Callithrix jacchus: one gene and its partners. The protein of the gene in region 2 purifies or fractionates together with the protein of the main gene of each other region. This does not show direct contact. Links are inferred from orthologs where the notes say so. Each region holds a gene or a part of one and is shown on either strand. Other genes may lie near its edges.

What was found.
Region 1: the proteins of WDR76 (region 2) and CAMK2D purify together in Homo sapiens (affinity purification with mass spectrometry; 3 studies listed by BioGRID and IntAct, counting the BioPlex papers as one, with this or other methods). This does not show direct contact. The link is inferred for Callithrix jacchus from reciprocal best matches to the Homo sapiens genes WDR76 and CAMK2D.
Region 3: the proteins of WDR76 (region 2) and CCT2 purify together in Homo sapiens (affinity purification with mass spectrometry; 4 studies listed by BioGRID and IntAct, with this or other methods). This does not show direct contact. The link is inferred for Callithrix jacchus from reciprocal best matches to the Homo sapiens genes WDR76 and CCT2.

Annotation. Positions count from the first base shown.
Region 1 is NC_133504.1:83,672,755-83,676,405, reverse strand, and holds part of CAMK2D (calcium/calmodulin-dependent protein kinase type II subunit delta), read right to left. Parts: intron 3,564-3,651; coding exon 3,441-3,563; intron 2,611-3,440; coding exon 2,527-2,610; intron 2,067-2,526; coding exon 2,024-2,066; intron 1-2,023. UniProt on the Homo sapiens protein: Calcium/calmodulin-dependent protein kinase involved in the regulation of Ca(2+) homeostatis and excitation-contraction coupling (ECC) in heart by targeting ion channels, transporters and accessory proteins involved in Ca(2+) influx into the myocyte, Ca(2+) release from the sarcoplasmic reticulum (SR), SR Ca(2+) uptake and Na(+) and K(+) channel transport.
Region 2 is NC_133509.1:31,488,242-31,492,492, reverse strand, and holds the start of WDR76 (WD repeat-containing protein 76), read right to left. Parts: upstream 2,947-4,251; 5' UTR 2,894-2,946; coding exon 2,834-2,893; intron 1,972-2,833; coding exon 1,570-1,971; intron 1-1,569. UniProt on the Homo sapiens protein: Specifically binds 5-hydroxymethylcytosine (5hmC), suggesting that it acts as a specific reader of 5hmC.
Region 3 is NC_133510.1:72,142,290-72,145,940, forward strand, and holds part of CCT2 (T-complex protein 1 subunit beta), read left to right. Parts: intron 1-479; coding exon 480-580; intron 581-799; coding exon 800-927; intron 928-1,309; coding exon 1,310-1,413; intron 1,414-3,651. UniProt on the Homo sapiens protein: Component of the chaperonin-containing T-complex (TRiC), a molecular chaperone complex that assists the folding of actin, tubulin and other proteins upon ATP hydrolysis.

The DNA of each region.
Region 1 (3,651 bases), on a different chromosome or scaffold from region 2:
AAAATTGCTCTTTCATGCTAAGACATTCAGAAACAATATAAAATCACATATTAGTCATGAATTTTTAGTTTACAGGATGATGAAAAGGAAACTGTGAGGTAAACAGAAAGCTTCTATATATGGGTACATACATTAATCAAGGCCCAATTTATGTCCAAGATTGTATTTAACACTTTGACAAAATGTACAATTTTAAATCTGAAGATTTTTAAAAGTTTGGGTTAGGTTGACATTAACAATTTATACTACATAAATCATCCTACCTTTTAATGATTCACTAATTATTGGAGCACAGTGAAATTTATTTGAATATAGTATATATGAATTAATATTTAATGAGATGGCATTGAACTCACCCATATAACTGTCAACCATACTAATCAACTGTTTATGAAACAGGTAACTTGACAAAGGCAGCAACAAGGTTTTATTACACTAAACAAATTGGACAAAATACATACAACGGACCAACACAGTCCCTTAATTTGTAGCATTATTCATTGTACTACTGTGGTTGTTTAACAGCCTTTGAAAGGCCTCTTATGGTTTCCCACTAATTGTAACTAAATGCAAAGGTGGGGGAGGAAAATGACCGCCTAGTACAGTTGTAAATAATAAGCAGAAGTTGGTTGAAGAACACTTAGCAATGATATGATGGATTATTATCAGGTAACACTATAACACCCAGGCTAAGTATGTAGCAGAAAATAAAGAATTGAAAAAACAGCTGGATAATTTGGTGCTGCAGATCACTGTTATGTAAACAATACACAAACTAAAGTGGTAGTATTTTTGGCACTAACGCTTAACAAGTGTTCCAAGTCTAAAGGGCCAAAGGTTACCAAGTGCAGCTTAAATGCTGCTCCAGTCCTTCCCCCCACATAAGACTGCTTAGCATTGAACGAGATTTGACTTTTGGGAACATGGTCCTTTGAGATAATCTATCAAAGAAGAAGGTTGCAAAACTCAAGTAATTTCTTTGAGTAATATATACTTTATCTCAATTTTTAGAGAGTGACTCTTACAATAAAGAAATGGTTTGGTTTCTTTCTTTCTTTTTTTTTTTTTGTTGAGATGGAGTTTCACTCTTGTTGCCCAGGCTGGAGTGTAATGGTGCAATCTCAGCTCACCTCAACCTCTGCCTCCCAGGTTCAAGCGATTCTCCTGCCTCAGCCTCCTGGGTAGCTGAAAGTACAGGCATGTGCCACCATGCCTGGCTAATTTTGTATTTTTAGTAGAGACAGGGCTTCTCCATGTTGGTCAGGCTGGTCTTGAACTCCTGACCTCAGGTGATCCGCCTGCCTCGGCCTCCCAAAGTGCGGGGATTACAAGTGTGAGCCACCATGCCCAGCCTTGGTTTGCTTTCTTTTAGCTTATTATTTAACAAACTTATTTTAACCATGGAATCATTTTGAGGAAGAATTTATTATGCACTGATAATACTGTATGTAAGATGCTCTGTAAATTCTTGGGTTAGATACCTTTGACAGTTGTAATCATTCTTATAGCATGCCAAGGAACTACTATACTTTTGAATGAACTTAGGTCTAAGAGAACTGGTTCCTCAATAATGGTCTTCTTTTAAAAATCTTGCATACTGGAATTCCCTATGAAAATGAGACCAAAAATAACTTATTCATAGTTATTACTTTATGAAATATCAATAGTAAATTCTAGGTGTGAAATGCTGAGATTGCAAATGAGGGAGTATTCATTTCCACAACTTGTACACACCCCAGCATTTGACAGATGAGGCTAGTTCTGCACCAGCACTGACTGGTGGCCAGAGCTGCCAGAAGCACTCTTGTGAGGGGTGCAGTCACAGAGGCTCTGTGGCAGACAGCTCCCAGGCAGACTGCTAATGGCAGCCACAGGTGTAGAAGGAATCTGTGCCACACATTTGCCACCCCTGAACAATGAGGTTTTTCTAATTATTAGATTTTTTAAATTCCATAGACAAAAAAACAGAGACTACTTAAAAAGAACACCAAAGGATAAGAAGTAGAGTAATCAATGCATGTACCTGAGAAATTCCTTGTAGCCAGCATAGTTGTTAAGATGGCACCCTGTCAAAAAAATTAGAACACAGAAGTCAATGTTGCCTATGCAAACCCTGGACCTAACAAATATACCGTCTTTGATAACAAAGCTTTTACTGGCCCTACTTTCAGTTAGGGGATTTTTGATTGTTTGTTTTTGTTTTTTGGTTTCCTGAGAGTCAAAGGCCTTTGTCTTTCATGATGCTGGGACCGCCCTCATGTGCGGGCCAGATTCTCATTATCAAATTGCACAGCTGTTTTCCATTGAAGAAAGGACCCACAGCATGTGTTGCCAGAATGATTTGAGCTTTTCATCATAGTTTTGATTCTGGTATATATTCCATTTTCCCAAGACCCAAAAAAAGAATAATGAGAGTATTGAGGTCTACATAACTGAAAGTCTTTGCTAGAAGTTATTTTCCTCATATAGTATTTCACTTCTCAGTCTGCCAAATCTACTTCCCCATAAAAATGTAAAATTTCTTACCTTTAGTTTTCTTCTAGCATTAAATTTCTTCAAGCAGTCTACAGTTTCCTGTCTGTGCATCATGGAAGCAACAGTAGAACGTTGCTAGAAGAGGAGGAAAAAAAGTGACTTAATTGAGAATATGTAAAACATGCTAAATATAATATCCCTGACTTCATCAAATCTTTATTAATGGTGCTGCACCCTGCATGATCAACTTCTAAGTATTCAATGGCCAAACTTACCTAAAAATAAAATTTCAGTTTTGCCAAGATTACTTGTGACTGAGATGCAACATTGATGTACAGAAAATACAGAAATCAATATTAATAATTTCTCAAATTGTCTTTATTTCAGTGTATTCATCACATTTTGACTGGACTACCTTTCATTTACTTAGTGCCATATTTGTTCCCTTAGCAACTGACACATTAGGAAATTTACTGAAGTTTCCAGATCCCCCTCAAATTTCACACTATTTTTCTTAATATTTTAAAAATACATTCAGACTATTATGACCATTCTTTTATGCCACTAAAACTACTCTCAGCCACCAAACTTCATACTTGTTTCTAAAGTTGCCTAATGACAAATAATTGAACTTTGTTAAATCTTTTCTTCTGGGACACATTTAATTTTGGTGTTATTTTCTTAGCCTCATTCATGAGTATTGTCAATAATTGATATGGAGTATACTCATTCCTTTGCTACTGCAAGCAATGTTTATTTAGCAATCTAGGCTATTCAAAATTTGCTATTGAAAACTGCATTTTTGCCATCATACAATTCATTTGCTTAAACACCTTGAGTCAAAAATTCATTCTTTCTGAGTTTCCTCTTTTTTTTTGCAAAATTATTTTAAATCCATAAACAATATATTAAAGGAGAGCTTATTTTTCATTTTAGCTCTTGAAGTTTTGGGAAATTTTACTTACACAGATCCATGGGTGTTTGAGTGCCTCTGAGGCTGTGATACGTTTGGCAGGGTTGATAGTAAGCATTTTATTGATGAGGTCTTTGGCTTCAGGAGTCACCGTGTCCCATTCCGGTGATGGAAACTTCAAAATTATAAATTTATAAAAAGTTTTAAAAACAGACACACAATCAAACAGGGCAGCATCAACTACATGAATCATTCCCTCAAGC
Region 2 (4,251 bases):
TTTTTAGTAGAGATGGGTTTCACCATGTTGGCCAGACTGGTCTCAAACTCCACCCACCTCAACCTCCCAAAGTGCTGGGAGTACAGGTGTGAACCACCAAGTTCAGCCTAATTTTTGTATTTTTAGGAGAGATGGAGTTTCACCATTTTGGGCAGGCTGGTCTTGAACTCCTGAACTCAGGTGGATCCATCTGCCTTCTTTAATTTTTAATTTTTTTTTTTTTTTTGGAACAACTCTAATAACTGACCTATTCCTTTACATCAAACTAAAATCTGCTTTATATTTACCTTGTATTCTCAGAATCTTACAGTCTAAAAGGCAAAAGGGATAATCTAATCCAGTGGTTCTCAAAGTGCAGTTCTGGACTAACAACATCAGTGTCTCTAGGAAACTGTTAAATATGCAAATTGGGCTGGATGTGGTGGCTCAAGCCTATAATCCTAGCACTTTGGGAGGCTGAGGTAGGAGGACTGGTTGAGCTCAGGAGCTCAAGACCAGCCTGGGCAACACACACCCCTACCCCTACAACATCCCAATGTCTCTATTAAAGTAAAAAAAAAAAAAGGAAAAAAAAAAAAAAGATATGTAAATTGTATGCTCCAACTTCAAAACTTCTGAATCAAAAACTCTGAGGGTGGGGCCCTGCAATCCAGTCTTAAACTCTGCAGGTAATTTTGATATAGCCTAAAGTTTGAGAACCACAGATTTTATCCAGTCCCCTCACTAAGGTGATTTGTTTAAAGGAACAGGTTTCTTAGAAATGGCTGTGCTAGACTCTCAACCCCAAGTCCAATTCATTTAACACTTACCCCATGCTGTTTCACTATGAGTCCTGGTTCTTAACTCTGGGATGAGAGCACATAAACCAAATTTCTATTTCATAACAATGCCCTTCAATTATAGTATCTCCCTTTACCTACTATCATTTTCTGTTCCCTGAGTTCCAGCAACATTGTGTTATGTACTATGTTTGGTTTTATCTTGTCCTGTGTAAAGTTTGTCACTTTGAATGGAGCACAGCCCTCCTGGTAGGCAGAAGCCAAAAGAATTACAAACCAAATTACTTAAATTGATTGAAATTATATAGAACTAATGTGTTTCTCATGTATCTTCTCTACTCTGTCATTTGTCCCCTTTTGCATTTAAAGGAAATATATTCAACAAATCAATATAATTAATTAATGTTTCCCTACCCTGATATCAAGGGTCAGTCAATACCTTATGTCCCACAAACTGACGACTTCTGATATATTGTACATAAACATGTAATGGTGAGCAAGGCACCATAAAGTATGAGTAAGCCCAAAAATAAATGCAGTAAGTTTAGAGGGAGTAAAAGGGAAACAGAGTAAAGATTAAGTCAATCCTCTCATTGACACACAGCAAGAGCAAAATTAATCCAAGTAAGTTACTTGTTAAACCTTAAAAATAATAGAAATTTATTGTTACACATTAATGATGAAATAATTTGTTTGTATTAGAGAGATCCTTGATAAACTTCGCTTTATCAGAACATCAAATTTCCAAACTTTAAGAGAAACTAGAACAAGCTACTAATTAAGTTCTTACCAGGCCTGGTGTGATATCTTCAGCACTGTCTCCATCCTGACTACTTTCCGTATCAACACCGAGATTCATCGCATCTGTCCTTCTCTTGTGTTGTAACTTGTTACTTTCAGTATGAACAGCTGAGGATGGATTTTGCAGTGTGGATTCTGCCTTGGAAGATGTGGTTTTCATCTTTGGAGGTATAATCCTTCTGCAAGTTTTCTTTATTTTAGTCTTCTTACACGCCACTTCATTGTTAGAATTCTTTTCTAATAGGGATTTGGGGCACATAAGCTGGTCTAGCTGATAATTACTGAGTGAAAAGGGGGTAAGATAGACTGTAGCTGTTTTTATTGAAACTGTAGTCTGCACTGGTTTCAGAGACACATAAGCGATGTTTTGATTTTCTTTATATCCATTTACCTATTCAGATCAATAAAAGAAAAGAGAATATAAGAATTCCAAGTTCTGTGCCTTTCCTTACAGGATCCCTAACAGATCTAATAATTCCCATTTCACGATGACAATATAAATCCAAATTGAGGCCAGGTGAGGTGGGTCACACCTGTAATCCCAGCACTTTGGGAGGCCAAGGAAGGTGGATCACCTGAGGTCAGGAGCTCAAGACCAGCCTGGCCAACAGGATGAAACCCCGCTTCTACTAAAAATAGAAAAATTAGCTGAGTGTGGTGGTGCATGCCTGTAATCCCAGCTACTCGGCAGGCTGAGTCAGGAGGATCGCTTGAACCCCAGGAGGCGAAGGTTGCAGTGGGCCGAGATTGCGCCACTCCACACCAGCCTAGGCAACAGAGCAAAACTGTCTCAAATAAATAAATAAATCCAAATTGATAGCCTGTAAGAAAACTTTTTCTCCCTTCCAAAATCTAGATATGTAATTCATTAACCTTAACCTCAATAGAATTCATTTACTTGGCATATTTCTTGCCCATAAGAGTTTGCCAGACCAATAATAATAATGACTAGCATTTATGACAGAGGCAATTACCGCAACTGCCAGCTGCGGATGGAATGATTTAGAGTGTGAAGCTGACCATAAGTGTGACAAAAGCAAACGCAGAAGGCTGAAGAAAGCGAATCCCAGATCTGACCCTCCCGCTATTTCTAGGATTATTGATTAAACTTTTCGACGACGCTGAAGGCCTCAGGGCAGGGATCCCCGCCTACCCCCAATGCCAGGTGCTCTCGACCTCCCAGGCCTGTATCCCGCAGAACCCCACAGAAACCGAGGCAGAAGCACACCCGGAAGCACCAACCCGTTTCTCACCTTCATCTGGGGTCGCTGTCTGGAGTTCGCCTTCTCAGCCGCCGCGTCCGACCCGGACATCTTTCGGCTGCTTAGCGGCCGGCGCCTTCCCGCCAAGATTGCGGCAGGAGGCCGGGAGGGGTGGAGCGAGGCCGCGAGTAGTAGGGCAGGACGGGGCGGGGCCGGGACGCGGCGGAACCCACTAGCACCACCGCGGTCGCAGCGCAGTAGCAGGAAGACCCGGTTGCGCGCGCCTCTTAAGAAAGCCATCTTAAAGCCCTAGACTGAAAATTCCTTAGGGATGTACTTGGTCTGAATTGACATTTTTACCTTTGACTGGTGATTCTGATTCTGGTGGTACTAGGATGCCGCTCTGCAAAACACTGGCAGGCCGGGCGCAATGGCTCACGCCTGTAATCCCAACATTTTGAGAGGCCGAGAGGAGCGGATCGCTTGAGCCCAGGACTTCGAAACCAGCCTAGGCAACATAGTGAGACCCTATGTCTACAAAAAATACAAAAATTAGTCCTGCGTGGTGCTGTGCGTCTGTAGTCCCAGATACTCGGAAGGCAGGGGTGGGAAAATGGTTTGAACCTAGAAGGATGTAGCCAGTGAGGCATCATGCTGCGGCACTCCAGCCTGGGCGACAGCAAAACCCTGTCTCTTTTATAAATAAATATAAAATAAGATTTTGGCTATTCTTCTGTTTAAGGTTCCTTCTAGCCCAAAACTGTTTCCTTAGTTGCTTAACTGGGTCCCACACTGTTACCTGACTGAGACTGGTCCACCCAAGGCCCAACTGTATAGAATACAGTTGAAGTAATTTGGGTAAATCATATTAACAGCAACTTCAAGGCCCTCCACGACTCAAAAATTACTGATAAAACCAAACTTTTCATGGTGTCCTGTATAATGCACAGTTTCTGGACTGCAAGACTGTTTCTGCTGTCCCTTGTGTCCCCCACAATGATAAAGTCCTTCCTACTGTGAAATATGCCCTTTCCCTTTTTTTCTTTTTTTTCTTTTTTTACACAACCCAGCTGGTAAATTGGGGCTGCTTCTGTTATTATTCTACAAGTCCTTAAAGAGTTCTTAAATAGGCCGGCCGCGGTGGTTCACATCTGTAATCCCAGCACTTTGGGAGGCCGAGGCGGGCGGATCATCAGAGGTCAGGAGTTCAAAACCAGCCTGAGCAACATGGTGAAACTTCGCCTCTACTAAAAACACAAAAATTACCAGGTTGTGGGAGGCCGGAGTGGGTGGATCCCTTGACCCCAGCCAACTCGGTAAAACCGCCTCTACTAAAAATACAAAAATCAGCAGGGCGTGGTGGCGGGTGCTTGTAATCCCAGCTACTCAGAAGGCTGAGACACAAGAATTACTTGAACCCGAGAGGTGGAGACTGCAGTAAGCCGAGATCGCGCCACTGCACTCCAGCC
Region 3 (3,651 bases), on a different chromosome or scaffold from region 2:
ACAGATGTGTGTGTAGTATATATCTGAAACAAAAGTTTCAAAATGCTGTTTAATTTTACTGTCTGTGCTGTGCTCTCATATTTTCTGTTTTATACATTATTTTTTGATTTTGTAGTAACTTCCAGTGGAATGCTTTATACCAGGAATGTCCAAGGGAGAGAAAACAGTCATGGGTTCTTAGTTTCTGTTTCTGGTTTGGCCAGTAAAGCTCCTTCATCATCCCTCCTTTCTGCTTGTCACTAGAGAGAGAAAATCCATGGCTTTCAAGCTGCTAAAAACCTAAAACAAAGCAAAACAGCAACAACAAAATAAGGCGGGTTGGACAAGCTTGCTTTTATACCATCTAAGAGCTTGGTAAATTGGACTTTAATAGCTCTAGCTTTTTTGAAATAGTAATAAGATAAAGCAGACAGCTTTATAAGATTTACTAAGGCTGCTTTGAAGTATTAAATGTGATACCGTTCTTATATTTATTATAGGCTTTCTGTTGGATAAAAAAATTGGAGTAAATCAACCAAAACGAATTGAAAATGCTAAAATTCTTATTGCAAATACTGGTATGGATACAGACAAAATAAAGGTATGTAACTCTACTTCTTAAAAATTCAGATTGCTGGCTTCTGTAAACTGAAGAATCAGTCACACTAAAAAGCTTGAAATATGTATGAATCTGTTGTATATATATACATATATTAGTTTTTGATATGTATGTTAGTAAAAATGTTGAAATATGCTATGGGACTCTTTTTAAAAAAGAGTAATGAAACTGATGCTCTTTTTATGCTTTTCCTTATCTTAGATATTTGGTTCCCGGGTTAGAGTTGATTCTACAGCAAAGGTTGCAGAAATAGAACATGCGGAAAAGGAAAAAATGAAGGAGAAAGTTGAACGTATTCTTAAGCATGGAATAAATTGCTTCATTAACAGGTCTGTTTGCTTGCAGGAAAGGATTTTTTTTTTTTTTTAATGAAAATGTAAGGAATAGTTTACTTACACTGAGTTAGTGATTTGTTACTTAGGAACTGCTATACATAACGTCACTTAAATTATGGATTTTCATAATCAGTAAATTGTGATTTATGCACACTGTGGCCAGAATTATGGGATCAATATATACAGTTACTTTAATAAAGAACACCTGTTTTCAGTGCTAGCATAGATGTGCTAGTATTATAATTGATAAATTCCAATTATACAGGTAAGAAAAGCAACCTTGTTCTAATGTAAAAATGTTTACATGTTTTTTAGTCTAATGTAGTTTATCTTGTAACAGTTTTGAGCATAATGTTTTTATGTATTTTATTTACAGGCAGTTAATTTATAATTATCCTGAACAGCTCTTCGGTGCTGCTGGTGTCATGGCTATTGAGCATGCAGATTTTGCAGGTGTGGAACGCCTAGCTCTTGTCACAGGTATGGAAGAAAGGTATTGTTTTCTAACGAACACAGTAGTCACTCTTGGATTTATTATTTGTTACTATATACAATTTGCTGAGAAAACAAATGAGTCTCTTTAAGGAGTTAGAATTTCAACAGTTATTCTGAAATCTAATTCATACTCTTCAATACCTTTAATTTAGATACATTATATTTACTATACCAAATTATATGCCACATTTGCCATTGGTACAGATTTTTTTCATTGTGTCATTGTTTTAAAGGTAGATTTTTGGCTGGGTACAGTGGCTTATGCCTGTAATCCCAGCACTTCGGGAGGCTAAGGCAGGCAGATGACTTGAGCTCAGGAGTTTGAAACCAACCTGTGCAACATGGTGAAACCTGTCCCTACCAAAAAAAAAAAATTAGCCAGATGTGGTGGTGAGCACTGTGAGCGTAGCTGCTTGGGAGGCTAAAACATGAGAATTGCTTGAGCCCTGGGAGGTGAGGTTGCAGTGAGCTGAGATTGTGCCACTGTGCTCCAGCCTTGGCAATGAGACCGTGTCTCAAAAAAAAAATTTTTTTTTTCTCTCACAAACCTGTAAGACCACTGTTAAAATCTGAACAAACTAGAGCTTTAAAAAGAAGTCTTAAGTTTCTTTACCTTTATCTAGTTTGTTCATTTATTTTTATTGCCAAGTAGTTGAGTGCTTTGTGTCCTGTGTAGTAGTAGTACAGTTAAAATAATAACCTTTATTGAACACACTGTATGCTGGAGAGTGGGTCAAGTACTGAAACATTGCTTTTGTTAATTTTTAAAAATTTCTGAAAGCAATAAATGTTAGAATAAGTGAAAACAGTCAACATTGTATAATGAAAATTAGTATATCTCTATACCCTTTAATAGAAGCGTGAGTGATACAATCCAGTTGTGTCAAATAGAAATTGTGTTTATAAATCAGATATATCTGTTTACATCAAAATGACATAATGGTGCAGGCTGATTGCAGTGGCTCATGCTTGTAATCCCAGTGCTTTGGGAGGCCAAGGCAGGAAGATCACTTGAAGCCAGGAATTTAAGACTAGCCTGGGTAACATAGTAAGACTACCTCTACGAAATATTAGCCAGGCATAGTGGCATATGCCTGTAGTCCTAGCTACTTGGGAGGTTGAGGCAGGAGGATCTCTTTAGCCCAGGAGTTCAAGGCTGCAGTGAGCTACGATCCCATCACTACACTCCATCCTAAGTGACAGAGCAAGACCCTGTCTCTTAAAAAAACAAAAGTGTAACTTGTTGCTCTTTATTCTGGTAATGGTTTAAAAAAATTTGTTTTATTAAATTTTTATAGATTGAGCGGGTATAAGTATAGTTTTGTTAATTCTAAGTAGCCCTAGAAAACTAAGTTTAACAAATGTTTCCAGATTTTAGGTCCTTGAAAATGAATGAATAGCTTGGAAAGTTGGTTTGAGAATGGGAATTAAGGAGACCTGGAGGCCTGTGTTAGGAGCTGTGAAGTCAGTAAAACTGTCATACTGTCTGGAATGACCATAAGTGTTAGAAGAAATTAAAGTGTACTAACATTTGAAGAGTGGACTTGGTCTCATCTCAGATGATCTCTTAAGACATTTTTTTAAATAATTTGAAAAGCATAATCTTCTGACCAAGAGGCATTTTCCTTTAATTACTTGAAGTGGATTTGCCTCCTTTAAAGTTCTTTAGGAGCTGTTGCATACTTGATGCTTTAAGGTGACACATAAAATTTAAGATGCTCATGTTTATGTGATTTTTTAGTGCCACAAAATGAAGATTTAAGAAATTCAAGTTGTATGATGACATTGGTTCTTGCAAGTGTCATTAAGTAAGTGTCTTGTGTTGGGCATGGTGGCATGTGCCTGTAGTCTCATCTGTTCAGGAAGCTGAGGCAGAAAGATTGCTTGAGCTTGGGGCTGTAGTGTGCTATGATGGTGTCTAGTGAATAGTCATTGCACTTCAGTCTAGGCAACATAGCAAGACACTGTCTCTTTAAAAAGAAAGAAAAAAAGTCCTAAGATCAGAGTCTTTATGAATTTATTGTAAAATAAATAATAGAGCATTGGCAGATTTATCAGTAAGGAATAGGAAAAGAAGAGTTGATTGATAATATATGGAATCCACATTATGAAATGAGTAGTCAGCTAGAGAAAAGGATTTTGACATGGAAACCTAACTTTTGCTTAGGAAGTAGGGAATGAAATGGCTGACCTCTTCAGTTTACAGCATGGAAGATGGAGGGA